4 linked regions of the Stegostoma tigrinum genome follow. Each later gene encodes a partner of the first gene's protein in a complex. Links are inferred from orthologs where the notes say so. Each region holds a gene or a part of one and is shown in the gene's direction. Other genes may lie near its edges.

Region 1 (7,814 bases):
GGTAAGATTCTTGGTCGTGTAGATGAGCAGAGAGATCTCAGTGTCCATGTACACAGATCCTTGAAAGTTGCCACCCAGGTTGACAGGGCTGTTAAGAAAGCATACAGTGTATTAGCTTTTATTAATAGAGGGATCGAGTTCCAGAACCATGAGGTTATGCTGCAGCTGTACAAAACTCTGGTGCGGCCGCATTTGGAGTATTGCGTACAGTTCTGGTCACCGCATTATAAGAAGGATGTGGAAGCTTTGGAAAGGGTGCAGAGGAGATTTACTGGGATGTTGCCTGGTATGGAGGGAAGGTCTTACGAGAAAAGTCTGAAGGACTTGAGGCTGTTTTCGTTAGAGAGAAGAAGGTTGACTTAATTGAGACACATAAGATAGTCAGAGGGTTAGATAGGGTGGATAGGGAGAGCCTTTTTCCTAGGATGGTGAAGGCGAGCACGAGGGGGCATAGCTTTAAATTGAGGGGTGAAAGGTATAGGACAGATGTCAGAGGTAGTTTCTTTACTCAGAGAGTAGTAAGGGAATAGAACGCTTTGCCTGCAACGGTAGTAGATTCGCCAACTTTAAGTACATTTAATTTGTCATTGGACAAGCATATCGACGTACATGGAATAGTGTAGGTTAGATGGGCTTCAGATTGGTATGGCAGGTCGGCACAACATCGAGGGCCGAAGGGCCTGTACTGTGCTGTAATGTTCTATGTTCTAATACCAACAGGGCTGGGTAGGGTGGACGTGGAAAACATGTCTCCACCAGTTATAACCTGAGGGCACAGTTTGAAAGTGAAGGAACAACCTTTTAGAATCGAAATGAGGGGGAATTTCTTCAGCCAGTAGGTAATTAATCTGTGGAAATCATTGAGCAGAAGGCTGTCATTCAGAGTATTTAAAACAGAGATACCTGGGTTCTCAGGTAACAAGGTGTGGGGCTGGACGAACACAGCAGGCCAAGCAACATCTTAGGAACAGAAAAGCTGACGTTTCGGGCCTAGACCCTTCATCAGAAACTCTAGTTGGCTGTCTCCCTTAAAGGGTACCTTTTGTTTGTTGTACCTGGTACAGTAGTCCATGTGCTGTAGATAGACCCATAATGCCTTTGGATTTTGACCCAGCGATAGTGATGGAATAAGTCAGAATGGTGAGTGGCTCAGAGGGGAACTTGTAGATGGTGTTCCCACATATCTGTTGTCCTCGTCCTTCTGTTCGTGGGTTTGGAAGGTGCTGTTTAAGGATCTTTGGTGAATTTCTGCAGTGCATCTTGTGGATGGTATACACTGCTGTGACTGAGCATCGGTGATGGACAGAATGAATATTTGTGGATGTGGAGCCAGTTGGGCAGGGTGCTTTGTCCTGGATGGTGTCAAGCTGCTTGAGTGTTGTTGGAGCTGTTCTCATTCAGCCAAGTAGGTAGTATTCCATCACACACCTGACCTGTGCCTTGTAGATGGTGGACTGACTTTGGGGAGTCTGGAGTTGAGTTACTTGCTGCGGAATTCTTAGCCCCTAACCTGCACTTGTAGGCTTGTATTTATATGATGAGTCCAGTTCAGATTGTTGATAATTGGGAATTCAGTGACAGTAATGTCATTGAATGTCAAGGTGATGGTTAGATTGTCTGTTATTTCCTGGCATTTATGTGGGGTGAAAGTTAGTTGCCACTTGTCAGACCAAGCTTAAATATTGGGTAGATCTTGCATTTGGACAAGGACTGCTTCAGTATCTGAGTAGTCTCAAATGGTTTAGAACATTGTGTAAACATCAGTGAATTTCTGATCTGATGATAGACAGAAGGTTATTGATGAAGTAGCTCAAGATGATTGCGCCTCGGACACTACTCTGAGGCCCTCCTGCACAGATGGCCTGGAGCTGAGATAACTGACCGTCAATAGCCATAGGATCCCTACAGTGTGGAAACAGGCCATTCGGCCCAACAAGTCAACACCGCCCCACCGAAGAGCATCCCACTTTGACCCAATCCCCTGATTTCCCAAGTCTAACCCACCTAATCTAAACATCTATGGGGACTATTGGCAATTTAACATGGCCAATCCACCTACTCTGCACATCTTTGGACTGTGAGAGGAAACCAGAGCACCCAGAGGAAACCCACGCAGACAGAGGGAGAATGTGCAAACTCCACATAGGCAGGTGCCCAAGGCTGGAATCAAACTTGGGTCCCTGGCGCTGTGAGGCAGCAGTGCTAACCACTAAGCCACCATGCTGCCCATAGAGGCCCAGGTATGAATCCAGACAGCAAGTGATTCCAGTTGACTCAGGTCTTTCTAGGGCTCCTTGATATTACACTTAGGCAAATGTGATCTTGATGTTAAGGGCTGTCACTCTCACGTCACCTCTAGAATTCAGCTCTTCCGTCCATGTTCGCATCTAGGCTGTAATGAGGTCCAGAGTTGAGTGGTCCTGGCGCAACCCAAACCGGGTGTCAACGAGCAGGTTATTGCAGAGCAGGTGCTGCTTGAAAGCGCCGTTGAAGGCACCTTCCATCACTTTACTGATGATCGAGAGTACTGATGGGGCAGTAATTGGCCAAGTTTGATTTGTCCTGCTTTTCGTACACCGTACATACCCGGACAACTTTCCACATTGTCAAGTCGCTATCAGTGTTGTAGACAAACTGGATCAGCTTGACTATGGGTGTGATAAGTTCACACTTCCTCTACATGGTGTTTAACTTGGAGGAATACTGATGCATCAGCTCAGGGTGGGGCCACTGGATGGTAATCAGCAGGTTTCCTTGCCCATATGTGGCCCGATGCCATTGGACTCCACAGGCTCTAGAATCAATGCTGAAGACTCACAAGGCAACTCCCCCCTGACAATGTATGGTTCTGTGGGATGACCCAGAACATAGTGTATCTGGGAAACTGTGCAAGTTATGATTGCACGACTGTGACTCTGTGAATTTTGTCATGTTTGTGAGACAGCTCTCCTAATTTTGGTACCATCCTTCGGTGTTGGTAAGCAGGACTTTGCAGATTTGACAGGCTTACTTTAGCTGTTGTTGTTTCCTGTGCTCAGGTCAATGTTAGATGATCCACCTAGTTTCATTCCCTGTGTGTTGCACTTTAGTGTTTGATACAACTGAATGGCTTTTGTGGCCAGTTGGAGGACAGTTATTCATTCATTCTCAGGCTGTGACTGGACAAAAATTTACACTCTATTGCTGTGGGTCTCCAGTTGTAGATTACCCAGGCTAGGTAAGGGAGGCATATTACCAAGCCTAAAAGGGCATTAATGAACCAGATGGATTTCTAAACAATAATGTCCACCAGACTAGCTTTTACAAGAAAAATCTAGGTTATATTGAATTCAAATATCACCATCTGCTGTGGTGGTATTCAAATCTTGACATTAGCCTGGGGATTTTGAAATATGCGTTCATCTTTGGCTCAGTGGTTAGCACTGCTGCCTCTAGGTGTCAGAGACCCGAGTTCAATTCTACCCTCAGGTGACTGTCTGTGTGGAGTTTGCACATTCTCCTCGTGTCTGCGTGGGTTTCCTCCAGGTGCTCCAGTTTCCTCCCACAGTCCAAAGACGTGCAGGCTAGGTGGATTGGTTATACTAAATTGCCCATAGTGTTCAGAGATTTATAGATTAGGTGAATGGATCTGGGTGGGATGCTCTGCAGGTCCGTGTGGGGCTTGCTGTGTCAAAGGGTTTGTTTCCACACTGTAGGGATTCTCTGATTCTTTATTTCCACAGTTCTGTTACGTCTCCAGTTAAGAGTCCATCACATTGCTTTAGATATACGTGACTGGAAAGAATAGTAGTTATTCTACCCAAAAAAACACATGCAAACTAGATGGATTTTCCCAACAAAGGCTACATGGTCGTCATCAGACTTTCAGTTAGAGATTTTGTTTTTAATTTTGAATATGAGTTCCTGGGACACTAAAATGAAAGCAAAATCCTTAAGTAGTCACACCAGAATCGAGACGTTATCGCCTGTTTTTCTCTGCACAGCTTGACCTGCTGAGCCCCTCAAGCAGTTTTAACTTTTATCCCTGGGACCTTGTGTCCCCGGATTACTCCACCAACAGCTCTGGCACTACATTATTGCCTCTCTGTTAATAATCTTGTGAATTAATTACCAACTAAATTGCAGATTTTATTAGTCACCAGCAACTGTACAAGGTGTAAATTGATTAGTGTTGGGTACGTTGATTGTGTTTCGATATTGTCCCTTACCTGTTAGATTTCAGTGACTATTTGACATGTTCCCAGTCCTGCAGCAAATTAAAATTAACATTTCTCAAGATAAGGAGATTTCTCAGTGAGACTGGGGACAAAATAAATCAGTCTTACAGAAACAATACAGCATATGCACTTTAGGTCAGACATGCATTCTATTTGAAGAACCACAGTAGATTTATTGTCTGTAGCAGCACATTCTTAGAAAAATGTTTTCCATTAAAAAGGAAATTATTAGCTTATAACACCTATACAAAGACTCAAAACAACTGATGTTGTAACTATATTACAACTGCGCTTATTTAATTTATAGAAGGGAACTTTATTTGGAGGCTCGAATGTACGGTTGCTACTCACACTGACATTTGGCCTTGGGTCGGCACAGTTGGAAAGAGGTTCGCAGATTCGGCGGAACTGTTTATTACTTTATAAAATTCTGCCAGGCCCAAGGTGGGAGTGTACTGGGGGAAGATCAAGTCCACCCGAGGCGGCGGGTATTCCCCGGGTGTCGGGAAATTTTCATCCGGCAGCCGTGGCCGGGTTTTGTTTGTGTGGAATGTGCGAGCTCGGCGCCCCCGGACAATAGGAACCCGCTCGCGCTCGGTCCGCGCGCTTCCCGCCCCCCGGCCCCGGGCTTGCGGATCCAGACCCTTCCCCCACCCCCCCCCCCCGGGTACCGGGCTCCGGTCACCGAACTACCCCACCCGACACAGGCCAGCTCCCGGCATCGAGCTCCCTCCCTCCTCGGCCAGGGACACCGACCGCCTCCCCGGGACCGCGGCTCCAGCGGGACACAGGACTCCCCGCCCTCTCCGTGAGTACAGCTTTGATCCCGGGGGGGGGGGATGAACGGGACATCATGAGGGATGAGCTGGGCTGGGGAGGCAGTGAAGGGAGAAGACGGGGGGGAGGGGGATCTCTCCGAGGGTTCACTTTGGGTGGGAAGTGTGGGTGCTGCAGGATGTTGTCATGGACAATATTCCGGAGCTGGGAGGGTGACTGACTCCCAATGAATTAAATCGGGGATAAAGGCTGTCTTGGTAACATTGAGGGGGATGGGTGGAGAGTGACCCAGTTGAAATATTTGGGACTATAAAATGTACGTAGACACACACACAAGATGTTTCTTCCGTAGGACAGTAGGACCAGGCTGTTATCATTCTAATAGTAGTTTAGGACAAAAACAGAAATTGTTGGAGAAGCTGAGCTGGTCAGGCAGAACCTGTTAGCAGAAAAAGTTAACGTTTCCAGTCCGATGATTCTTAATCATAACCTCAGTCGTTTGGGCTTGGCCAGCTCAGTTGAATGGACAGCTGGTTTGTGATGCAGAGTGACATGGACTCTCCTTTTCAACCTCACCCCTAACTTGAGGTGTGATAACCTTTAAGTTAAAGCACTTCTAATCATCTCTGTAATGAAAGAGTAGCCCCATGGTCCTTTGGGGCTATGATTGGTTGGGGACTCATTTCCACTTTACATCATTTTTTTTTCTCCACCATCGGCAACCTCTTTGTCTTTTGTTAGTCAAAAGTATAACAAGTGTTTAAAAAAATTCCAACATCTTTTTAACTCAAAAAATGTCCTAAACTCTCTTTTTTGTCTCCACAGATGCCACAACTGCTGAGTTTCTCCATATTTCTTTGCTATGTTGGCAGTATAAGACAGTCACTAATAAATCCATTTGAGAATTCAGGAAAAATGTCTGCCTGGGGAGTGGTGAGAATTCAGGACTTTGAAAAGCAACACCAACCTGTCATGAGCAATTAGTTCATCTAGGACCGACTATGGAATGAAAGCCTTTTACTTGTATAGTTCCTTTTAAAGTAAAAGGAATATCTCAGATTGTTTTATAGCCAGAGACAGTAGGAACTGCAGATGCTGGAGAATCTGAAACAACAAGGTGTAGAGCTGGATGAACACAGGTCTAGAGGAAGGGTTTAGGCCTGAAACGTCAGCTTTCCTGCTCCTCTGATGCTGCTTGGCCTGCTGTGTTCATCCAGCTCCACACCTTGTTTTATAACCAATCAGTTTATTATATATAGTATATATTTTTGCTATGCAATCACTGCTGTTATGTCAGTAGTATGGTGGCCAATTTGTACATGGCAAATTCCACAATCAGCAGTGTGATAATAGCCAGATTATCAGTTTTTGTTGTGTTGGCCAAATTGGGAATAACAGGGCAAAATTGGGATTATAGAATCAATAGATGTGAAGCTAGAAAAAGACAACACGCTGAGGAGCAGGAAAAAAAGTTTTGGGTCCAAATTGTATAACCTAGTGTCTCCTGACTTCTGATGTTGTCTGCTATAGGGGCGGCACGGTGGCTCAGTGGTTAACACTGCAGCCCCACAGCACCAGGGACCCAGGTTCGATTCCAACCTTGGGCGACTGTCTGTGTGGAGTTTGCACATTCTCCTCATGTCTACTTGGGTTTCTTCTGGGTGCTCCGGTTTCTTCCCGCAGTCCAAAGATGCGCAGGCTAGGTGGCTTGGCCGTGCTAAATTGCCCGTAGTGTTCAGGGGTGTGTGCATTTATAAGGAGGTGGATCTGGGTGGGATGCTTCAAAAGGGCGATGTGGACTTGTTGGGCCGAAGGGCCTGTTTCCACACTGTAGGGAATCTAGTCTAATCTACCTCAATCCAACACCAACACCTTCACATCCTCAGAATAGTGCCATTCACTTGGGAGAATAGATGAAGTCTTTGTTTAATGTTTCATTGGAGGGTACCTTTGCTGTTATAGTACCCCTCAATTAACCTTGCAGAAATCTCAGGAGTGGGATTTGAACACAGAATCTTCTTGCCCAAAGGGGAAGGTATTACCTGTTGAGCCATGGCTAATGTGTGGTGTCCATTGGTATTATTGTGGCTTTCTCAGCTTGAGGCAGAGTGTAGTGCAGGCAGAGCAATTTCCCAAATGTCTTTGCTGTTAAGGCAGAAGATTTTAAATGAAAATGCAGGCATTCTCCTTAATTTCTTGCTGAAGAAACATTAAATCTGATGAAAACATGGCTATTTTCTGTCAAATGTTTGTGTTCTTCCCTTTGTTCTGTTCTCATGGCACTGTAACTTGTCAAAGTTGAGGTACTTTTCTCTCCCCGAACATTTTTGCACTCTATCTATGTCTCTGTCCGTATCTCTATCTCTCTCTCATATCTCCTTGCTTCAGTGGCTAACTGCAAGTCTTGGCCTAGATCCTTGGATCCCTGAATTGGGATATGACTCATGACTTTGGAGTACGCGCTGAGTGTTGCTGAACAAAAAGACATGATCTTGAACTTTTCCATCTTAGACTTGGTCAGCACAGATGTAAGAATATTCCCAGATTTCAAAGGGAGCAATGTTTATACCACATGAGAAACAGAGTGCTGATTGGTTCACAGGTTAACTGACTGTTCAAGGCAATGCCATGAGGAGTACACCAGGGAACAGTGTCCCCAGACTCTTGTTTATTTGAATAGGTGCAGTGTCTGTACAAGTTAATTTTGCTTGCGGGGAGTCAAATATATATGGAGCTTCCAGCAAGTGTAAGTGAACCACATTGTGAGATACACTGATAATCTTAAATTGGTTGTTAGTGTAATTCTTTTCACGCTGGGGA
Region 2 (7,978 bases), on another chromosome or scaffold:
TTTGCAATATATAGTGGTTAAATAAAATAAATCCCTGACACACACTCTAAAATCAACAAGTAACAATTTAAATATCTAACGCTAACAGTGAACAAATTAACTAAACTATGAACAAACAGAATAAATCTCCTCTATTACCCATTCCTGAATGCAGCAAGATTCTGACGGTATGCTGTTCCAATAAATAAAAGGCCCACTACATCTAAAGAATTCAGTCTGTCGAAATTACAGTCAGGTTACATGTCTTCTGGAATGTTGTGTCCCTTCTCCATCGATTCGTCTGTCAGGAATGCTTTCTCTGTCAATTCTCTATTAAGAATATTAACTAGTTGTGCCGTTGGTACAGCTGTTGTTTAGATGGTGCTTCCTGTAAAACATAGAGCAGGCTGTGAGAGCCAACGATTCTCTCTTGAGAGCTGAGGGCCATTAGCTCTGGCGGATGGCAACTAGCTGTGGCTTTGTTCAACTGTCTCTTTCTTTTATACCCTTGATGACATATCAATATTTCTTACAATAGAATTAGTTCTATGTTGTCAAAACCATCAGATTTAAATTTAATTGGTTTTTGGTATCTAAGTGCCTGGTTCATATTGATGGCTAAATTCAAAAGCCTGTTGCCTTAGTAAAATTGACTGCTTGGCCTGCTAAATGTACGGCCTTTCAATACAAATGTTTCAATTCAGGTGCTCTCTGTGCACTTGCAAACTTTCAAGCTGCTGCTCACAGCATCCGTTTTAAACCTCTTAGCACATGAAAAACACATCTTTTAAAGGACCAGACAATGCTTCCCCTACCCCGCCCCCAGCATTTACAAACACAAAATTGTAACTTCCTGCCTCCCAATCCACAAATACACTACCCAACTTCGCAACATCCTCCACCCTAGATCCCCGACAGAAAAGAGGGCAGTATCCCATGTAGAGCGCCCTCCACTGGGGATCCCAAATACTTGGTAAATAGGCACGCCTAGACAGTGGATGAAGGAGAAGAGGTGGATGGTGTGCTGCAGCAGTCTGTACAAAGCCTGTCATTTTGCACTTCTAGAGGGCATATGACAAATATTTTGGCAGTGGCTCAGGTTGTGGGGCATGGGATCTTGGGGCCATACACATCTGGCAGGCATACACATAGACAGGATTCCACCTGAGTATCGTCCAAGTGGTGCACAATGTCAGGTTTGAGCACCGCAGTTTAAGGTGTTGGATGGCAACGGTCACAAGATGGACGTCTACTGCTGCCCTGCTTGCCACTTGCAGTGGAACTTTTCTTAACCTCCTCTCCCGACACTATTGCTTTACATTCCACCTGTAGCAACTGCTGTACAGGGACTCAGTGAAAACACCAGTTATATAAATAGTTTTATTCAATATTCCATCACCAGGTAAAACACCCATGTAGCCAAGGAACCAGTAACAAGCGACCCCCAATAGCAGCAATGCCTGTGTGAAAGGAAGAGTAAAGGGGAAGGGAGGCATCAAATCAAAACAGAATTGGAGGGGAAAATAAAGCACTGCAACCCCCGTGGTGCCCATCTCTGCCTAAAGGAATCAAAAGTATTGATAGACAACACCTGCTCTCTCTCCAAGGACGCCCAGGCTCAAACAGAGCCATGGAGAGGGAGCTAAAATGACCGGCTCCACGCCCCGCTGCCTGAACCTGTTTACAGCTAGCCTGGCAAGGCCCAGGAGCAGAACAATGAGGCGATCCATCAACCTGCCTGCACCCCTGTGCACTGGGCGCCCGAAGATCAGGAGCATGGGGCTGAAGTGCAACCAAAAACAGAGCATAAGGTCTTTTGATTAACTAAAAAAAAGTGCAAATGCCCACAAGCAACATTCATAGGGTCTACAGTCTCCACAGCACCACAGAACAAACAGAGATAATGGGAACTGCAGATGCCGGGGAATCCAAGATAATAAAATGTGAGGCTGGATGAACACAGCAGGCCCAGCAGCATCTCAGGAGCACAAAAGCTGACGTTTCGGGCCTAGACCCTTCATCAGAGAGGGGGATGGGGAGAGGGAACTGGAGTAAATAGGGAGAGAGGGGGAGGCGGACCGAACATGGAGAGAAAAGAAGATAGGTGGAGAGAGTATAGGTGGGGAGGTAGGGAGGGGATAGGTCAGTCCAGGGAAGACAGACAGGTCAAGGAGGTGGGATGAGGTTAGTAGGTAGATGGGGGTGCGGCTTGGGGTGGGAGGAAGGGATGGGTGAGAGGAAGAACAGGTTAGGGAGGCAGAGACAGGTTGGATTGGTTTTGGGATGCAGTGGGTGGAGGGGAAGAGCTGAACTGGTTGTGTGGTGCAGTGGGGGGAGGGGACGAACTGGGCTGGTTTTGGGATGCGGTGTGGGAAGGGGAGATTTTGAAGCTGGTGAAGTCCACATTGATACCATTGGGCTGCAGGGTTCCCAAGCGGAATATGAGTTGCTGTTCCTGCAACCTTCGGGTGGCATCATTGTGGCACTGCAGGAGGCCCATGATGGACATGTCATCTAAAGAATGGGAGGGGGAGTGGAAATGGTTTGCGACTGGGAGGTGTAGTTGTTTGTCGCGATCCGAGCGGAGGTGTTCTGCAAAGCGGTCCACAAGCCTCCGCTTGGTTTCCCCAATGTAGAGGAAGCCACACCGGATACAGTGGATGCAGTATACCACATTGGCAGATGTGCAGGTGAACCTCTGCTTAATGTGGAATGCCATCTTGGGGCCTGGGATAGGCGTGAGGGAGGAGGTGTGGGGGCAAGTGTAGCATTTCCTGCGGTTGCAGGGGAAGGTGCCAGGTGTAGTGGGGTTGGAGGGCAGTGTGGAGCAAACAAGGGAGTCACGGAGAGAGCGGTCTCTCCAGAAAGCAGACAGGGGTGGGGATGGAAAAATGTCCTGGGTGGTGGGGTCGGATTGTAGATGGCGGAAGTGTCGGAGGATGATGCGTTGTATCCGGACGTTGGTGGGGTGGTGTGTGAGAACGAGGGGGATCCTCTTTGGGTGGTTGTGGCGGGGGCGGGGTGTGAGGGATGTGTTGCGGGAAATGCGGGAGACGCGGTGAAGGGTGTTCTCGATCAAACCCCACCTCTTCCTCCGGTACATTGATGACTGTATCGGCGCCGCCTCTTGCTCCCCAGAGGAGCTCGAACAGTTCATCCACTTCACCAACACCTTCCACCCCAACCTTCAGTTCACCTGGGCCATCTCCAGCACATCCCTCACCTTCCTGGACCTCTCAGTCTCCATCTCAGGCAACCAGCTTGTAACTGATGTCTATTTCAAGCCCACCGACTCCCACAGCTACCTAGAATACACCTCCTCCCACCCACCCTCCTGCAAAAATTCCATCCCCATTCCCAATTCCTCCGCCTCCGCCGCATCTGCTCCCACGATAAGACATTCCACTCCCGCACATCCCAGATGTCCAAGTTCTTCTAGGACTGCAACTTTCCCCCGTCAGTGATCGAGAACGCCCTTGACCGCGTCTCCCGCAACACATCCCTCACACCCCGCCCCCGCCACAACCGCCCAAAGAGGATCCTCCTCGTTCTCACACACCACCCCACCAACCTCCGGATACAACGCATCACCCTCCGACACTTCCGCCATCTATAATCCGACCCCACCACCCAAGACATTTTTCCATCCCCACCCCTGTCTGCTTTCCGGAGAGACCACTCTCTCCGTGACTCCCTTGTTCACTCCACACTGCCCTCCAACCCCACCACACCTGGCACCTTCCCCTGCAACCGCAGGAAATGCTACACTTGCCCCCACACCTCCTCCCTCACGCCTATCCCAGGCCCCAAGATGGCATTCCACATTAAGCAGAGGTTCACCTGCACATCTGCCAATGTGGTATACTGCATCCACTGTACCCGGTGTGGCTTCCTCTACATTGGGGAAACCAAGCGGAGGCTTGGGGACCGCTTTGCAGAACACCTCCGCTCAGTTCGCAATAAACAACTGCACCTCCCAGTCGCAAACCATTTCCACTTCCCCCTCCCATTCTTTAGATGACATGTCCATCATGGGCCTCCTGCAGTGCCACAATGATGCCACCCGAAGGTTGCAGGAACAGCAACTCATATTCCGCTTGGGAACCCTGCAGCCTAATGGCATCAATGTGGATTTCACCAGTTTCAAAATCTCCCCTTCCCCCACCGCATCCCTAAACCAGCCCAGTTCGTCCCCTCCCCCCACTGCACCACACAACCAGCCCAGCTTTTCCCCTCCACCCACTGCATCCCAAAACCAGTCCAACCTGTCTCTGCCTCCCTAACCTGTTCTTCCTCTCACCCATCCCTTCCTCCCACCCCAAGCCGCACCTCCATTTCCTACCTACTAACCTCATCCCACCTCCTTGACCTGTCCGTCTTCCCTGGACTGACCTATCCCCTCCCTACTTCCCCACCTATACTGTCCTCTCCACCTATCTTCTTTTCTCTCCATCTTCGGTCCACCTCCCCCTCTCTCCCTATTTATTCCAGTTCCCTCCCCCCATCCCCCTCTCTGATGAAGGGTCTAGGCCCGAAATGTCAGCTTTTGTGCTCCTGAGATGCTGCTGGGCCTGCTGTGTTCATCCAGCCTCACATTTTATTACCACAAAACAAACAGTTGGGCTTGGAGTCCATAAACCACTGTAATTGGTGATTGCACTGGTCTACTGCGTGCAACACCCTCCACCCCAGCTCCCCAATGGGAAAAGAGAGAGGACTCCTACATAGGGAGCATTGGGGATCTCTATCACCTGGTGGTAAATGGGTATGTCAAGACATATCCCGACAGGACGGTGGTGCTCAGAGATAATGGGAACTGCAGATGCTGGTGAATTCAAGATAATAAAGTGTGAAGCTGGATGAACACAGCAGGCCAAGCAGCATCTCAGGAGCAAAAAGCTGACGTTTCGGCCATCAGAAAAGGTGGTGCTGTCTGCTCCTGCAGGCGCACCTCTGGCCAGGCGGTGGTGCTGTCTGCTGCTTCTTTGCTCCTATCTTCTCTCAGTGAATTTGTGGTTGAAAATGGCGGTGCGGAAGAAGGACGGAGGCCCGAATGTGAAATATTTCGAGGCCTCAGATACGGTGTCGCAGTTTGATAATGTGCGCCTGTGGCTAGGGAAGAATTATAAAAAGGTGAGAGATGCCAGTGGAGTGGATCGGAAAGGGTGAGGATGCAATTGTTTGTTGGGCCCTGGACTGTATCCTGATGGCGGGTGGAAGTTCGGCTTTCCCTGTCCTTGACATCGGCCTCGGAGCTTCCTGTCGGGTTGCCCAGCCGATGGTCGTAAGTCTCCGTCTGCGGAACGGAGAAAGTCGGAAGTGGAGGACGCCGAATTGCAGGCAGCCCGGTCTGCTTCCATTCCTCGCCTCATGCTCAGAAACTCCAGATCAATTCTCCTTCCCATCTCTCCCTATAACTACTTAAAAGCTGCTTTCGTCATTTCAAAAATATCTGCCCCGTCTGAAACCTTTCCCTCTCAAAAAATTCAATCCTACTTCAAAACCAACTTCGCCTTAAATCTTCAACGACACTTTAAAATGTCCAATCCCCTTAAAAAAACCTTCATCCCGAAGACGCCTCCTGCTCCCTTAAATTAATCCCCTTTGAAGCTTTCTAAAAATCCCTTCTTCCATGAAATCCCCAATTCCCCCGCCGTAAGCCTCCTCCCCTTGCGAACACCTTTTACCACCCCATGAACTCGCTATCTCCATAAACGCCCTTCACTCCCTCACTTCACCACACCCCATTCCTTTAAAAAGCTTCGTTCTCCTTCAAACCTCAATTCCCCCTTTTTAAAAAAAACGTTTCTTCCTAGAACCCCCTTCCATTCCCAAAACCCCAAGAAGTCCCTTTTTCTTAAAAAAACAATCTCCCGCTTTAAAAAGTAGCTTGCCCCTTGAAACCAATCCCTATTTAAAACCAAGTCTCACTTAAAATCCCGGCCGCTGAGAAATGCAGTCTTTCTTACGACACAAAAGCTCCTTTACTACATAAATCAAATCCTCCTGAACACGTTCCCCTCCGCCATTTAAAAGCTAGTTGAGATGCTTGAAAACCAAAATCTTCCCCTCACTCCCCTGCGTCAACACTTCTGGCTGAAGGTTTTTGTAAATGCTTCTGCCTTATCCTTTGCACTGATGTACTGGGCTCCACCATCGTTGAGAATGAGCATGTTTGTGGTGATGCCTCCTTCAGTGAATAGTTTAATTGTCCAATACAATGAATGCTTACATGTGGTAGGACTGCAGATCTGGATCTGATCTGTTGGTTGTGGAATCATGGATAGATATGTCTGCAACAGGCAGGTCGGTGAGGATGAGGTCAAGAATGGTTTTCCCTCGTCAGTTCCCTCACCACCTGACGTAGACCCAGTCTAGCAGCCATGTCCTTTAGGGCTTGATCAATCTTAGTTGTGGACATTAAAATCCCTCATCCAAAGTACATTCTGCGCACTTGCTGCTCTCAGCTTTTCTCCATACGATGTTGAACTGCACTGATTCATCAGTGGATAGAAGATGCTGTCTGGTAATCAGTTTCAGGTTTTAATTGCCCATTTTTGACATGATGCCGTAAGACTTCATGAGGGCAACTCCCTTCCGACTGCCACTGTGCAGCCACCTCTGCTGGGTCTGTTGTGCTTGTGGGACAGGACATATCCAGGGATGGTAATGGTGGTGACTGGGAATTTTTCTGTCAGGTATGATTCCATGAGTATGACTATGTCAGGCTGTTGTTTGACTGGTCTATGAGATAACTGTCCCAATCTTGGCACTGGCCCCCAGATGTTAGTAAGGAGGACTTTTGTCTGGCTAACAGGGCTGTTTTTTTCCATTGCAATTTCAGGTGCCTAGGTCAGTGCCAAGTGGTCTGTCTGTTTTCATTCCTTTATTTTGCTTTCTTGTGGTTGATACAAATGAGTATCTTGCTAATCCATTTTAGAGGGCACCAAAGTGTCAGCCACGTTGCTGTGGGCCTGGAGTCACGTGTAGACTTCCTTCCCTAAAGGATATTAGTGAACCAGATCGGTTTATCTGACAATCAATAATATTTTCATGGCTATCATTAGATTCTTAATTCCAGACTTTTATTGAACTTAAATTCTACTGTCTCCCATGGCCAGGTTCAAACCAGGATACCTAGATCATAAAGACAGATTGCTAGAAAATCTCAGCAGGTCCAGCAGCATCTGTGGAGAGAAAGCAGAGTTAACGTTTAGAGTCCAGAGACCTTTGTTCAGTTCTGAGTTTTTCCTTGCCATGTCTGGTTTTGGTTTCTGATTTCTAGCATCTGCAGTTCTTTGTTTTGTCTTACCCAGAACATTTTCTGGATCTCTGAATCAATAGTCTCGCAACATCCCTAGTCCATTGACTGCCCTAATAAGCTTAAAAAAGGCCTTTGGATTTTCATTAATGTTACCCATCAAAGTTTTTTCATGTCCTCCCTTCATACTCAATTTCATTCATAAGCAGAGATAATGGGAACTGCAGATGCTGAAGAATCCAAGATAACAAAGTGTGAAGCTGGATGAACACAGCAGGCCAAGCAGCATCTCAGGAGCAAAAAGCTGACGTTTCGAGTCTAGACCTTCATCAGAGATGAAGGGTCTAGGCCGGAAATGTCAGCTTTTGTGCTCTTGAGATGCTGCTTGGCCTACTGTGTTCATCCAGCTTCACACTTGGTTTTCTTTGTTCATAAGCAACCCCCAGCACTTCCTATGTTCCTCTAAGGTATCTACAGTTTTGAGCCTTTGGTGTCTCCTATTATCTTCCTTTTTGCCCCTTATCCAATCCTGCATTTCCCTTGACATCTTGGTATGTTGGTTCCACCTTTCCCTTTAGAGGAACATGTTGGCCCAGCACTCTCTCTATTGTCCTTTTGAATGTCTCCCACTGCTCTGGTGTGGCTTTTCCTGCAAGTTGCTGCTCTCAGTTTACCTTGGCCAGATCCTGTCCTATTTTTTAAAAATGGCCAAAGAGCTATAGATGCTGGAAATCAGAA
Region 3 (7,097 bases), about 22 Mb from region 1:
AAATTCAGAATGACAAACAATGCATTCACTGGGCAGAACAATAGCAGATGAAATTCAATACAGACATGTGTAAGAGCTGATCACTGGAAAGCAAAATATCCATTGCATGCATTCCAAGTTTGGTGTTAGCAGAGTTAAAGATGAAGCTGAAAGAGATCAAGTCATCTCAGCAAATGTAATTGACAGTATTTCCAAGGCTGAGGAGTCATGAACAATGCCATCAGAATGTTGAGCTACGTAGCCAAAATTGTAGAATGGAGATCAGAAAATGTTGCGATTGAAACACACTTCGCACCACACCTTAAAAACTGCATCTAGGTGTGGCTGCCAAGATCCCAACAAAAAACATTCACATGCTGAAAGCACTGCACATTAGAACCACAAGGCTCAGCCAAAAGTCAGGGATCTGAATTCTAGGGAAATTCAGAATTTACAGATACAAACTGTTAAAAGGTAATTATACAATTGATATCAGAAAATTTTATTCCGTTATGTGTCCAGGTAAAGCAATAGATGAAAAAAGACAATTAAATGCTGCAATGGGAACACTTTTCTGAACAGGCTGCTTTCTCATCCACAAGAATTTTATGATCTAGTATGTAATAGATCAATCATATTTCCATGCTTAGGCCAAGTTGAGAGTTTCTTTTGGTGTTGCACATTAAATATGGGGAATCAATCTGTCTTGAGGGTTCCTTATGACCATGCAATATTAGATTTGCCTGCTTTGTGAGCAAACTTTGCTTGCAAATGAAAGAAGGGCGTTATTTGATGGTCCCTGATAAAAATGTAAAAATATAATTAACAAAAAATGTTAGATTTGCTGGTCGTCTGGGCAGACTACAGTTGGTGAGTTTCAAACAACTGCACAGGACTTTCAACATTAAGTAAATACCAAGGATGGACTTAGGAATAAATAAAATTGGATATAGTCATTTATTTCAGCATATAGACTTTTTTAAGATTGGGTCACAATTTTTAACTACCAATGACTAAAATTTGACTGCCACGACAGTATTTCAAACTTGATTTGTTTCAAGGCAGAGAGTTCCTGTTTCTCACCATCAGATTACATAGATAAGCTGGGACTCATTATTAGTCTATTCACTTCTGAGTCAGAAAGTTGGGAATTTGAGCCCTAGCAAGATATCTGAGCAAATAATATGCAATTGTAAAAGCCCATCAGACTGGGAAGAAGGCATCCTTGATAACAAAGTGTGGAGCTGGATTAACACAGCAGGCCAAGCAGCATCTTAGGAGCACAAAAGCTAACGTTTTGGGCCTAGAACCTTCATAAGAAAAGGGGGATGGGGAGAGGGTTCTGAAATAAATAGGGAGAGAGGGGGAGGTGGATCGAAGGTGGATAGAGGAGAAGATAGGTGGAGAGGAGACAGACAAATTAACGGGGTGGGGATGCACTTGCCACTACACCTCCTCCCTCATCCACATCCCAGGCCCCAAGAAGACTTTCCACATCAAGCAGATGTTCACCTGCACATCTGCCAATGTGGTATACAGCATCCGCTGTACCCGTTGTGGCTTCCTCGGGGAAACCAAGCGGAGGCTTGGAGGCTTTACAGAACACCAATGCTTGGTTCGCAATAAACAACTGCACCTCCCTGTCGCGAACCATTTCAACTCCCCCTCCCATTCCTTAGACAACATGTCCATCCTGGGCCTCCTGCAGTGCCACAACGATGCCACCCAAAGGTTGCAGAACAGCAACTCATGCAACCTTCTGCTTGGGGACCCTGCAGCCCAATGTATCAATGTGGATTTCACAAGCTTCAAAATCTCCCCTTCCCCCACTGCATCCCAAAACCAGCCCAGCTCATCCCCGCCTCCCTAACCTGTTCTTCATCTCAACTATCCCCTCCTCCCACCTCCAAGCCACACCTCCATTTCCCACCTACTAGCCTCATCCCACCCCCTTGATCTGTCCATCATCCCCAGACTGACATATCCCCTCCCTACCTCCCCACCTACACTCACCTTACTGTGGATTTCACAAGCTTCAAAATCTCCCCTTCCAAAAACCAGCCCAGCTCATCCCCTCCCCCCACTGCATCCCAAAACCAGCCCAGCTCGTCCCCACCTCCCTAACCTGTTCTTCATCTCAACTATCCCCTCCTCCCACCTCCAAGCCACACCTCCATTTCCCACCTACTAACATCATCCCACCCCCTTGACCTGTCCGCCCTCCCCAGACTGACATATCCCCTCCCTACCTCCCCACCAACACTCACCTCTACAGGCTCCATCCCCACCCCTTTAACTTGTCTGTCTCCTCTCCATCTATCTTCTCCTCTATCTATCTTTGATCTGCCTCCCCATCTCTCCCTGTTGATTTCAGAACCCTCTCCCCATCCCCCACTCTGATGAAGGGTCTAGGCCTGAAACATCAGCTTTTGTCCTCCTACGATGTTGCTTGGCCTGCTGTGTTCGTCCAGCCCCACACTTTTTTATCTCGGATTCTCCAGCATCTGCAGTTCCCATTATCTCTAAGAAGGCATCCTTGCTTGTTTTCAATATCATGCCAAGTGATGTTTTATACCCCACTGTGAAAGCAGATAGAGCTGAGTTTTAAGGCCTTGTGTGAATGACGGTGGCTGTTGAGAGCAATACCCCCCTAGCGCTGTACAAAAGTGTCAGGTGGATGTAGCTGAATATAGACTGTCACTAGATACTCTGAACATTTATTCCTCAACCAATATCTTTTAAAATCAAAATACCTGCTTATTTATTTCCATGTTGCTTGTGATCGCTACATAGACAAATTGGCTGCCATGTTTGGGGAGTGGCTACAATTCAAAAGTACTCTGTAAAACATTTTGAGATGTCCTGAGGTGATGACAGGTACATTTCAAATGTCAGTCATTTCTTCCTAAGTGTCTGGTTTTCAGGAAGAAGGCATTTTAGAACTTCTGTTCATAGTACTGGGATAAAGGAACCTCAGGTCCTATAACCAGTATTTGTAAAGATTTCCTCTGTTATTAAATACATCATTATGCCTTGTAAAATGCTAATGATATTCTAACCTCCTGGGGGTTACCATTGACCAGAAACTGAACAGGACTAGTGATACAAATACTGTGACTGTGAGAAGATCAGAAGCCTTGAATCTTACAATTAATTTACTTCCTGACTTCTCAAAGCCTATCCAGCATTTACAAGTCATAATTCAGGATCTGATGGCACACTCCCCACTTGCCTCCATGAGTGCAGCTCCAAAAACATTCAAGAAGCTTGACACCATCAACAAAACAACCCACTTGACTGGCACCATATCTACAAAGTTCAGTCCTTCAACCACAATGCTCAGTGGAAGCAGTGTGTACCAGTTACAAGATGCACTGCAGTACTTCACCAAGGCTGCTTAGGGAGAACCATCCAAACCCTTGACTGCAACTCTCTAGAAGGGCAAGGACGACAGATCCCAGGGAACACCACCATTTGCCAGTTCCCCTCCAACCACACACCATCTTGACTTGCAAATATATCGCTATTTCTTCAGTGCCAAAATCCAGGGAACTCCCTCACTAATGGCATTGTAAGCATCCTTGTACCAACAGACTGCAGCTGCTCAAGGCAGCTCACCACCACCTACATTACCTGTAAATTTCCAACTTCTGGATTTGGTAGTCAGTACGAGTTGGCGTGCACAGAGCCTCTGAGCAAATTTGTGACCACTTAATGGGGACAGTGCTCACCACCACCTTCTCCAGGGCAAATATGGATGAGCAATAAACGCTGACGCAGCCAATGAAGCCCACACCCCATGGGTGAATAAAGGTATTTTCTAAAAAGAGTCAACAAGGTGCGAGAAATAACTAAGAAAATGAGGGTTGGATTTGTCTGTTTTGCCAGGCAAAGAGTTCATTCTAACAGAGGTGCTGCTGACTGAAGACTGCACTTTACCTGGCGCAGGCTGAGTTCCTGCTTGCTATAGACAGCACAATGTTTAGACTTGCCTGGTGAAGTGCTCCTACTGAGTAGGTAGAGGGCGCGCGGTCTATTGAGTTCCCTGCTAACCTGCTTGAGCAATCCCCACCCATCTGCCAAAGCCACAGAAGTGGGCGGGAGGCGTAGCTCTCAACAAACAAGAGTGTAGCGAGGGGGAGAAAAACACTCTGATCTTTATCTTTAGACATTTTGTTGGTTTTGAGGCACTTTAGAAAATGTGTCAGTGCCAGCAGAGTGGGGGCTTATAGCTCTCCAGCAGATTCATGGGTAATGATGACACCAAACATTGCCACCTCTGTGCCTGTTGTTAAATGTTATGTGTGTGCTTTCTTGTTTTTTTTGAAAAGAAAGCGTTAACGTAGCCGGTAAGGAATAGCCGTGGGGTGAAACCGGAGACCTCTCTCCCTGAGCCGCGGAGGCTTGTGGCAACCAATTGGAGGAGTGACTTGTACCAAGTGACAGCTGGGATCTTTGTTGGAGGAAGAGTTGTTAGCGCCGAGTGAGATTGTCTTTTGTTTTCATATATCTACATATACATATATATATTACATGCATGTGTCTGTTTATGTATACACTTTGAAAAAATGGCGACAAGAGTAGGCGGAGGGTACCCCTTGAACCCAGGGAGCCCCCTGAATCCTTCCTTGGGGGTGATGCCAGGACAAGCGGTCAGGATGCCACTGAACCTCCAGCAGCAATCTCCAGTCTTCCGGACGATGGGTCCCGGCGGCGCTTACAACGTGAGTAATTGCCTCCAAACCCCACTGCTCACCAGCAATGCAAAACTTTCCAACTTCTGCCCTTATTTATCTGCACCGATCGATCGGAAAGCACTGAAACCGGCCCCAGAATCAGAAAGGAAACCACCGTTTTATTTAGTCATCGATTTTCCCCCCCCTTTTTCTGTAATTATGTTTCTTGACTTCTTTAGAATTAAATACTTGATGTGGCGGCGCCACATGAGATTAATTTTTAATGTAGTTTTTCTTTAAAAAAACATGTGGTTTAGACACGTGCAAGAGATATGAAATAGCTCTAAAGGTGACTCTCTTTTTGTTGAATAAAAGAGTTAGTTGCTATTTTTTTCTCTGGTGTTTATCAAATTGGCAAGGAACTGACCCCAAGCAGACACCCTAGCCCTCTTGTTTTGCTGGTTGAAATTACAGTGAAACTCGGCCTAAAAGCTCCCTCCCGATCCTCCCTGCTGAATTATTTTGTGTGTGTGTTGTTGTTCCCGTTTCGCATTACTTCCGCATTCAGTGTCGCATCGAGAAACCTTGTTCCGCGATTGCGGAGATTCGGCGCTTGGACCCTCATCCCCCTGACCCCGGAAACCCGGGGTCTCCGCTTCAATCTGCAGCCTACCTACTTTCCCCCACCCCCCAAGATCACTGCAAAATACCCACCCTCCCGCCTCCCGGACTATGGTCTTACACGTGGTCAGCACTGTAAGAGAGGAGAGGCACATGAGCGCCATCACATGCCTCCTATTGTAGGGCCACTGGGAGTTTGGGGCATCTGGATTGTAGAGAGCAGGAGCATGTGGGGAACCTTGATTATAGAGAGAGGGGTATTAGGGGGTTTGGTTTATGCACACAAGCTGGGGTAAAGGTTCTGAATTGCAGGGGAAAAACATGTAGGAGAACTGAATTGTACAAGTGGGGATGTATCTGGATTACAGAGACAGGGCGACTAGAATTGCAAAACTGAAAGAAATAGGAACTGTATTAGGCTGTTCACCCCCTCCTACACCCTTCAGTGGGATCATAGCTGAAACTTAATTCTTCATCTCTGCTTTCCTGCGTTTTCCCTGTATCCCTTGATTCCCCGACTGATCACCAGCTTTAAATATACACAAGGACTGTACCCCACAGCTGTCTGTGGCAAGGAGTTCCAAAGACACACTCACCATTGAGAGACAAATTCCTCCTCATCTCCGTTCTAAATTGGTGCCCCTTTGTTCTGAGGCTGATCCTGGACTCTACCGTGAGAGATAACATCCTGTCAGTATTTACCCTAGCGAGTTTTGAGAACATTTGTAGCTCAGGTTGAGTTTCTGGATGTGAGTTTGCTCGCTGAGTTGGAAGGTTAGTTTTCAGACGTTTCATCACCATTCTAGGTAACATCATCAGTGAGCCTCCGATGAAGCGCTGGTGTTATGTCCCGCTTTCTATTTATCTGTTTATCTATTTCTATTTATTTGTTTAGGTAAACAGATAAATAGAAAGCGGGACATAACACCAGCGCTTCATCGGAGGCTCACTGATGATGTTACCTAGAATGGTGACGAAACGTCTGAAAATTAACCTTCCAGCTGAGCGAGCAAACTCACATCCAGTATTTCCCCTGTCAAGCCCCTTAAAATCCAGTAAGCTTCAATGAGAGCACCTCTCATTCTAATGAACTGCAAGGGCTGGAGTCCCAACCTGTTTAGCTTTTGCTCATTAGACAGTCCCTCTAGATCCCGTACACCCCCTCTCTCTATAATTGAGGTTCTCCACATGCTGCTTATCTCTACAATCCAGATTCCCCACCTCCCAGTGGCCCTACAATAGTCCCATCCTAGGGAGCCTTCTTTGAAGTGAGGCTGATTTAGTTTGGGAAACTTGGTCAGAGTGGACAAGTAGGACTAAGGATCTATTTCTGTGCTCAGAGATAATGGGAACTGCAGATGCTGGAGAATTTGAGATAACAAAGTGTGAAGCTGGATGAACGCAGCACAAAAGCTCTATACCCTTCATCAGAGAGGTGAAGGGTCTAGGCCCGAAACGTCAGCTTTTGTGCTCCTAAGATGCTGCTTGGCCTGCTGTGTTTATCCAGCTTCACACTTTGTTATCTCTGTTTCTGTGCTGTCTGAATCTAGGACTGTATGATTCAAGAGACACAGGCGAGATGAGAGATCTGGATGATGGGGACAATGGAATGTTGGGGATCTAGATTACAGAGACAGGGCAAAAAGGGGCTCTCAATTATGAAGCCAAGGGATGGGGATCTGTCTTACATATAAAGCATTTGAATTGTGGGTGAGGAAAATAGGATACCTGGATTACAGGTAAGGGGAGACTGGGATTAGAAATGCGAGCTGTATCTTGGTCTGTGTTATAGGGGCAGGTTGACATAGGGGATCTGAATTA
Region 4 (7,413 bases), on another chromosome or scaffold:
GGTCATCCCTTCACTTGTTATTCACACTTTACTCACACCATCTGACACTGCGGATCACTTACAGAGTTTATTACTGATACTCCACTCATACTAGTGTGTGATCTTTTGATCTCCCTGCCTAGAACATAGAACAGTACAGGCCCTTTGGCTTACAATGTGCTGAACTTTTATCCTAAACCTAAGGTATATCTAACCTCCACCCCTACCTTATACTATTATCCATTTGCCTATCTAATAGCCGCTTAAATGCCCCTGATGAGGCCGACTCTACTACCGTCTCTGGCAATGCATTCCATGCCCCGACCACTCTCTGAGTAAAGAAGAACCTACCTCTGATGTCTCCCCTATATCTACCTTTAAAACTATGTTCCCTCATAATAGTTACCCTCACCTTAGGAAAAGGTCTCTGGCTGTCCACTCTACATACACTTCTGATCATTTTGTACACCTCGATCAAGTCACGTTTGCTTCCCTCTCACTTCACCTGACAAAGGAGCAGTGCTCAAAAAGCTTGCGATTTCAAATAAACCTTTTGGACCGTAACTGATGTCGTCTGATTTCTGACCTTGTCCACCCCAGTCCAACCAGCACCTTCACATCATCCTCAATACCTCTTCATTGGATAGCCCCATTATACTAGGAATCAGTCTCAGGGAACCTCTGTTTGCGGTACATCCTTCCTCAGATGGAAGGATTAAAATCGGGAATGCTCAAAAGGCTGGAATTTGGTGGGTGCAGAGATCTCTGATGGCGGCATGGTGGCTCAGTGGTTAGCACTGCTGCCTCACAGTGCCAGAGACCCGGGTTCGATTCCATCCTCGGGCGACTGTCTGTGTGGAGTTTGCACATTCTCCCCGTGTCTGCGTGGGTTTCCTCCAGGTGCTCCGGCTTCCTCCCACAGTCCAAAGATGTGCAGGTTAGGGTGGATTGGCCATGCTAAATTGCCCCATAGTGTCCAGGGATGTGTAGGTTAGATGTGTTAGCCATGGGAAATGCAGGGTCACAGGGGAAGGGTAGGGGATGGGTGGGAAGCTCTTCAGAGGGTCAGTGTGTACTTGTAGGGCTGAGTGGCCTGTTTCCATGCTGCAGGGATTCTATGGTGATGTGCAGGTTAGAGTGGATGGGCCTTGCCAAATTGCCCATAGTATCCAGGGATGTGTAGGGTTACAGGGGTTTGGGGTGGTGGGGTGGTGTCTGAAGGTGGGTTGTGGACTTGATGGGCTGAATGGCCTGCTTCCACACTGCAGGGCTTCTAGGTTCCCAGGGTTGGAGGTAGTGGGGCTGGAGGAGATGGCAGAGATAGAGGGAGGCCATGGAGGAGATCTGGAAACCCAGTGATAATGATCAAATCAGGGTGTTTATTGAACAGCAGCCAGCGCCAACCAGTGAGCAAGAAATTGTAAGCACAGAGGTAGGCCATTCAGCCCATCAAGTCTGCCCCACCAGTCAATGAGATCGTGGCTGATAGGTTGTGGGGGGGATATTGAAAAGAAAGGTTGAAATACATGAGATAATGGGAACTGCAGATGCTGGAGAATCCGAGACAACAAAGTGTAGGGCTGGAGGAACACAGCAGGCCAAGCAGCATCAGAGGAGCAGGAAGGCTGACGTTTTGGGCCTAGACCCTTCTTCATTTTCTGAAGAAGGGCCTAGGCCCGAAACGTCAGCCTTCCTGCTCCTCTGATGCTGCTTGGCCTGCTGTGTTCATCCAGCTCTACACCGTGTTATCGCAGATTCTCCAGCAACTGCAGGTCCTACTATAGCTGAGAAAGTGTTAGGAAATTCACATTTTAACATCTCAGTGGGAGCAGCTCTGACAGTGTAGCTCACTCAGAGATAGTAAGAGCTGCCGATGCTGGAGTCTGAGATAACACAGTGTGGAGCTGGAGGAACACAGCAGGTCAGGCAGCATCAGAGGGGCAGGAAAGTTGACATTTTGGGTCAGGACCCTTCAGAAATCTGAAGATTTCAGAAAACCATTTCTGAAGAAGGGTCCTGACCCGAAACAGCTGCCCGACCTGCTGTGTTCCTCCAGATCCACACTGTGTTATCTCTGAAAGTGCAGCCACCGGGAATATCAACCTGGAACAGGTGCTCAAGTCTGGGGGGTGAAGGGGGTGGAAAGGGGATTGAACACATCCCTTCCATTGACGAGGCGGTGTTGGTGAGAGCATCGCATACCAAGTGACTTTAATTCTCCTCCCCACCTCGAGTTGCCCCTGTATCACATGCGCCGACCATTACATCCAGCCAAAATTGAAAAACAAATGAAACTTCTGGTGGTTAATTTTCTGCAAACGTCAACACCGCCCATTTGAAAATTTAAAGATATAAAACTCTGCAAAAGTGGGGGTGGCAGGGACTGCACATGTGGAGTGAGCTCTCTTTGGCACTTCAAGTGCTCATCGAAACAGTTCCCCCAAAATATGCTAAGAGCTCCTGCCTTTACCACCCTTTTGGACAGTGAGTTCTAGATACCTCTGGGTAAAAAAGATCTTCCTGAAATCCCCTCTGAACGTGCTGCTCCTTGTCTTTAAACTGTGACTCACAGTGAGAGACCTCTCCACTAGGGGGAAAGTTTCTCCCTGTCTATGCTGTTCAGATTTCAGTGCACCCTTGTCAAGCCACCCGCTCCGCTATAGGGAAATTAAGCTCTCCCTTCTCTCTTCATAGCTGAATCACTCCAGCACCACATGAACATCCCAGTTAATCTCCTCTGCACCCTTTCTCTCTCTCTACAGTGCAACAAAATCCCTGAGGTTTGTCTGTTTGTAACTAGGTGAATCTCCTCTGCACCCTTTCTCTCTCTCTACAGTGCAACAAAATCCCTGAGGTTTGTCTGTTTGTAACTAGGTGAATCTCCTCTGCACCCTTTCTCCCTTTCTCTACAGTGCAATCAAATCCCTGAGGTTTTTCTTTTTGTGACTAGGTGAATCTCCTCTGCACCCTTTCTCTTTCTCTACAGTGCAAACAAATCCCTGAGGTTTTTCTCTTTGTGACTAGGTGAATCTTCTGTGCACTCTCTCTCTTTCTCTACAGTGCACCAAAATCCCTGAGGTTTCTCCGTTTGTAACTAGGTGAATCGCCTCTGCACCCTTTCTCTCTCTCGACAGTGCAATCAAATCCCTGAGGCTTCTCTATTTGTGACTAGGTGAATCTCCTCTGCACCCTTTCTCTATCTGTACAGTGCAGTCAAATCCCTGAGGCTTCAGTGTTTGTAACTGGGTGAATCGCCTATGCACCCTCTCTCTCTCTCACTACAATGCAATCAGATCCCTGAGGTTTCTCTGTTTGTAACTAGGTGAATCTCTTATGCACCCTTTCTCCCTTTCTCTACAGTGCAATCAAATCCCTGAGGTTTCTCTGTTTGTAACTAGGTGAATCTCTTATGCACCCTTTCTCCCTTTCTCTACAGTGCAATCAAATCCCTGAGGTTTCTCTGTTTGTAACTAGGTGAATCTCTTATGCACCCTTTCTCCCTTTCTCTACAGTGCAATCAAATCCCTGAGGTTTCTCTGTTTGTAACTAGGTGAATCTCTTATGCACCCTTTCTCCCTTTCTCTACAGTGCAATCAAATCCCTGAGGTTTCTCTGTTTGTAACTAGGTGAATCTCTTATGCACCCTTTCTCTCTTTCTCTACAATGCAATCAAATCCCTGAGGTTTCTCTGTTTGTAACTAGGTGAATCTCTTATGCACCCTTTCTCCCTTTCTCTACAGTGCAATCAAATCCCTGAGGTTTCTCTGTTTGTAACTAGGTGAATCTCTTATGCACCCTTTCTCCCTTTCTCTACAGTGCAATCAAATCCCTGAGGTTTCTCTGTTTGTAACTAGGTGAATCTCTTATGCACCCTTTCTCCCTTTCTCTACAGTGCAATCAAATCCCTGAGGTTTCTCTGTTTGTAACTAGGTGAATCTCTTATGCACCCTTTCTCCCTTTCTCTACAGTGCAATCAAATCCCTGAGGTTTCTCTGTTTGTAACTAGGTGAATCTCTTATGCACCCTTTCTCTCTTTCTCTACAGTGCAATCAAATCCCTGAGGTTTCTTCTCTTTGTGACTAGGTGAATCTCCTATGCACCCTCTCGCCCTCTACAATGCAATCAAATCCCTGAGGTTTCTGTCTTTGTAGTGAGTGGGCATTGCCACCCCAGGGAAAAGGGGACACAAGAGGGGAGAGGACTACAATTCCCAGTCGGCACAGATTACTGCCCCCCATAGTGGAGGATAGCGTGGGGGGATGGACTACAACTCCCAGCAGACACTGGGATTACCCCCCATTTCCCCCCAATCTCGCCCCCGGAGCTGAGGCGCAGGCGCGGCCACGCCCCTCTCCACACAGGTGACGTCGCTCCCCAGGCACCAGGGGGCTGCTGATTGGCTGTTTCGTGGCCGCAGCCCTGTTCCATATTGTGAATGGTCCAAATGAAATGTTAAAACCACAATTGTGATCCTACTGTATTTTATTGTATCAAAATGGCGACAGTCATTCAGAATCCTTTAAAATCGTGAGTATCTGCAAAAATTTCTGCCTTGCATTTTTGCAATTTCCCCAGACCTTTCTTGCATTTGGCAGCCCTCTTAAATGAAAAAAAAACTTGCATGCAATTCAGGAGAGGTTTTGCAATAGATGCCAAGTGCATTACACTCAATAATATTCTGCACCCTTCTATTAGTGTTGCATTTTTTTTTCTTATGCAGGTTGCATTATTTCTAATTTTTTTTCAATGTTGTTCTATTTAATTTTCTTTTTTTTGCCCCCCCCCATTCCCCTTCCATTTCAGCTGGAAACTGTTTGGATGCAGTTGCCTCCTCACCTTAAAGGTGACTTGCTGGCATGTGGAGTATATTGTAGCCCAGTGTTATATGTGCTTTACAGTGCTGGCTAATGGGCTGATCAGGGCTCAGCGGCAGCGAGCCGCTCGCCTTTAATGAGAGCAAGGGGAGGGCTGCAGCCACCCGCGGCTCGCCAGCGCCGCCCGGGGGCAGACGCTGGGGACTGCAGGGTAATTAAAGGCGGTGGAGCGGGCGGCGAGACGTTGAGCCGACAGAAAACAACCCCCCCCCCCACCCCCATCAAAGAATATCTCCGTTTGCTGTTTTGTTATGTTGAATACCTGTTTCAGTTTTGCAACCAAATCTGAAAGCTCGAGATTTTTGTCATACTTTTGATTTAGTGAAATGTCATTTATTTTCATTTTTTTGCCTTGTGTGCCTGATAAATGCCTCTCTGAAGGTTAGGGAGAAATGGGTTGTGTTTTCTTTTCAAATGTCAGCCTCTCTTGGTTCCCTGCAGCAATTCTGAAGATGCAGGAGGGGGATTGACAGCACTGAGGGCATATAAAACACATTGCACCCCCTTCCCCAACCTCCACCAGGCACCCATTTCCATCCTTGGTGCGTGTTCATCAACCACACAGAAAGATGAGGGTAACTGTGAACACTGATGGTCACCAAACCCAGCAGTGAAGTGGAATACTGCGGACTTCAGATAGAACATAGAACATCGAACATTACAGCACAGTACAGGCCCTTCGGCCCTCGATGTTGTGCCGACCTGTCGTACCGATCTCAAGCCCATCTAATCTACACTATTCCATGTACGTCCATATGCTTATCCAATGACGACTTAAATGTACCTAAAGTTGGCGAATCTACTACCGTTGCAGGCAAAGCGTTCCATTCCCTTACTACTCTCTGAGTAAAGAAACTACCTCTGACATCTGTCCTATATCTTTCACCCCTCAATTTAAAGCTATGCCCCCTTGTGCTCGCCGTCACCATCCTAGGAAAAAGGCTCTCCCTATCCACCCTATCTAACCCTCTGATTATTTTATATGTTTCAATTAAGTCACCTCTCAACCTTCTTCTCTCTAATGAAAACGGCCTCAAGTCCCTCAGCCTTTCCTCGTAAGACCTTCCCTCCATACCAGGCAACATCCTAGTAAATCTCCTCTGCACCCTTTCCAAAGCTTCCACATCCTTCTTATAATGCGGTGACCAGAACTGTACGCAATACTCCAAGTGCGGCCGCACCAGAGTTTTGTACAGCTTACAGATGGGCAAAGAGTGAGCCTCGTTTGGCTTGGCCTCTGATGCCCACCTAGTTGAATAGCCTGGGAGCAACAAATCAAGTATGCAAACCCACAGAGTGGAAACATTACCCCTGGGGGGTTGTCAGGATTGAGTGCCACACAATGCAGTTTTAAGGCCTGTGAGAGTAGGGCCAAGAGGAGAAATGTTTACCCACAGTGAGTGGTTAGGGTCTGGAATGTGCAGCTTCAGCTGGCAAAACAGACCTGGGTACCCGCTGAAGGAGATTGCGCCCAGGGCTGCGGGGAGGAGGTGGGGGGAGTGGGACCTCCTTTGGAGAGCCAGCCCCTACACGATGGGCCGAATGTCCTCCTCCTGCACTGTATCCTTTCTGTAATTCAGTGCTCGGGTTCACATTGCTAGGTCTTGGGGGTGGGGAGGGATTCAGCCCTGGACAGGGTCAGCATGAAGGGGGTGGGGGCTGCTGGAGGAACGTGTCGGAATTGGTAGGGACTGAATTTTAACAAGAGAGGGTCAAAGAGTGAGGCGTTTGCACGAGGTCAGGACCAGATGGGGAGACCAGCAGCAACTGGATGAACACAACACAGTCTCACAGCAGTGACACTAAGCACTGCTCCCCCCCCCCCCCCCAACAGTCCGTTTCAGCTGAAGGGCCAGTGCCCCTCGAATATTTTAGCTGTCTTCCCCCCCACCCACCCCGCCATGAGTCGCAATTAGATGGTAAGGATTCCTAACGGTCCCAGTCCCTGAACAGTTCTCTCTGAATTATTTTGGAGGAGAAAGGCACCGAGGAGCTCACGCTCAATGGTCAGCAGTTAGTCTGGATTCTGCAGGAATTTTGGGATGCACAGGGAAAGGATACCCTACACTTCACCAAACACTACCATCCCCCGCCTCCGCATACCTCCTCCCCACTTCCCAAAGATCCTGGTCCCACTTCACCTCTGCCACTATTGCCCTCCTCCCTCTGCCCTTTCTCCCTCAACCCTTCTTTCTTTTTCTCCCTCCTCCCCGCCTCTATCTCCCTCTCCTCTCCTCTCTAAACACCCCCCAAACCTCCTTTTGTCACCAGCCCATTCCCCCAGCCATTCCAGCCTCTTCACCCCTCAGCCTCACCTCCTCCCCCTCACCTGTCCACCTATTCTCCCCTTTCCTCTTCTCACAAAACCTCTCACTCTCCACTCAACCCCCTCCCCTCCTCCCTCAAGCCCCCCTCCCTTCCTCCCTCTACTCCCCTCCCCCTACTCCCCCTCCCTCTACTGCCCCTCCCCTCCTCCCTCTACTCTCCCTCTATTCCTCCTCCCTCCATTCCTCTTCCCTCTGTTCCCCTTCACCTCCTCCCTCCCTTCCCTCTCCTCCCG

The links.
Region 2: smarce1 (region 1) and SWI/SNF complex subunit SMARCC2 share a complex: the UniProt entries of both Homo sapiens proteins name them as parts of the BAF complex. The link is inferred for Stegostoma tigrinum from reciprocal best matches to the Homo sapiens genes SMARCE1 and SMARCC2.
Region 3: smarce1 (region 1) and SWI/SNF-related matrix-associated actin-dependent regulator of chromatin subfamily D member 2 share a complex: the UniProt entries of both Homo sapiens proteins name them as parts of the BAF complex. The link is inferred for Stegostoma tigrinum from reciprocal best matches to the Homo sapiens genes SMARCE1 and SMARCD2.
Region 4: smarce1 (region 1) and dpf1 share a complex: the UniProt entries of both Homo sapiens proteins name them as parts of the neuron-specific chromatin remodeling complex. The link is inferred for Stegostoma tigrinum from reciprocal best matches to the Homo sapiens genes SMARCE1 and DPF1.

What each region holds. Positions count from the first base shown.
Region 1 is NC_081384.1:2,078,816-2,086,629, reverse strand, and holds the start of smarce1 (SWI/SNF-related matrix-associated actin-dependent regulator of chromatin subfamily E member 1), read left to right. Parts: upstream 1-4,798; 5' UTR 4,799-5,025; intron 5,026-7,814. UniProt on the Homo sapiens protein: Involved in transcriptional activation and repression of select genes by chromatin remodeling (alteration of DNA-nucleosome topology).
Region 2 is NC_081404.1:1,307,381-1,315,358, forward strand, and holds the start of SWI/SNF complex subunit SMARCC2, read left to right. Parts: upstream 1-4,975; 5' UTR 4,976-5,001; coding exon 5,002-5,112; intron 5,113-7,978. UniProt on the Homo sapiens protein: Involved in transcriptional activation and repression of select genes by chromatin remodeling (alteration of DNA-nucleosome topology).
Region 3 is NC_081384.1:23,920,328-23,927,424, reverse strand, and holds the start of SWI/SNF-related matrix-associated actin-dependent regulator of chromatin subfamily D member 2, read left to right. Parts: upstream 1-4,077; 5' UTR 4,078-4,547; coding exon 4,548-4,703; intron 4,704-7,097. UniProt on the Homo sapiens protein: Involved in transcriptional activation and repression of select genes by chromatin remodeling (alteration of DNA-nucleosome topology).
Region 4 is NC_081392.1:15,780,273-15,787,685, forward strand, and holds the start of dpf1 (zinc finger protein neuro-d4), read left to right. Parts: upstream 1-4,394; 5' UTR 4,395-4,474; coding exon 4,475-4,506; intron 4,507-7,413. UniProt on the Homo sapiens protein: May have an important role in developing neurons by participating in regulation of cell survival, possibly as a neurospecific transcription factor. Belongs to the neuron-specific chromatin remodeling complex (nBAF complex).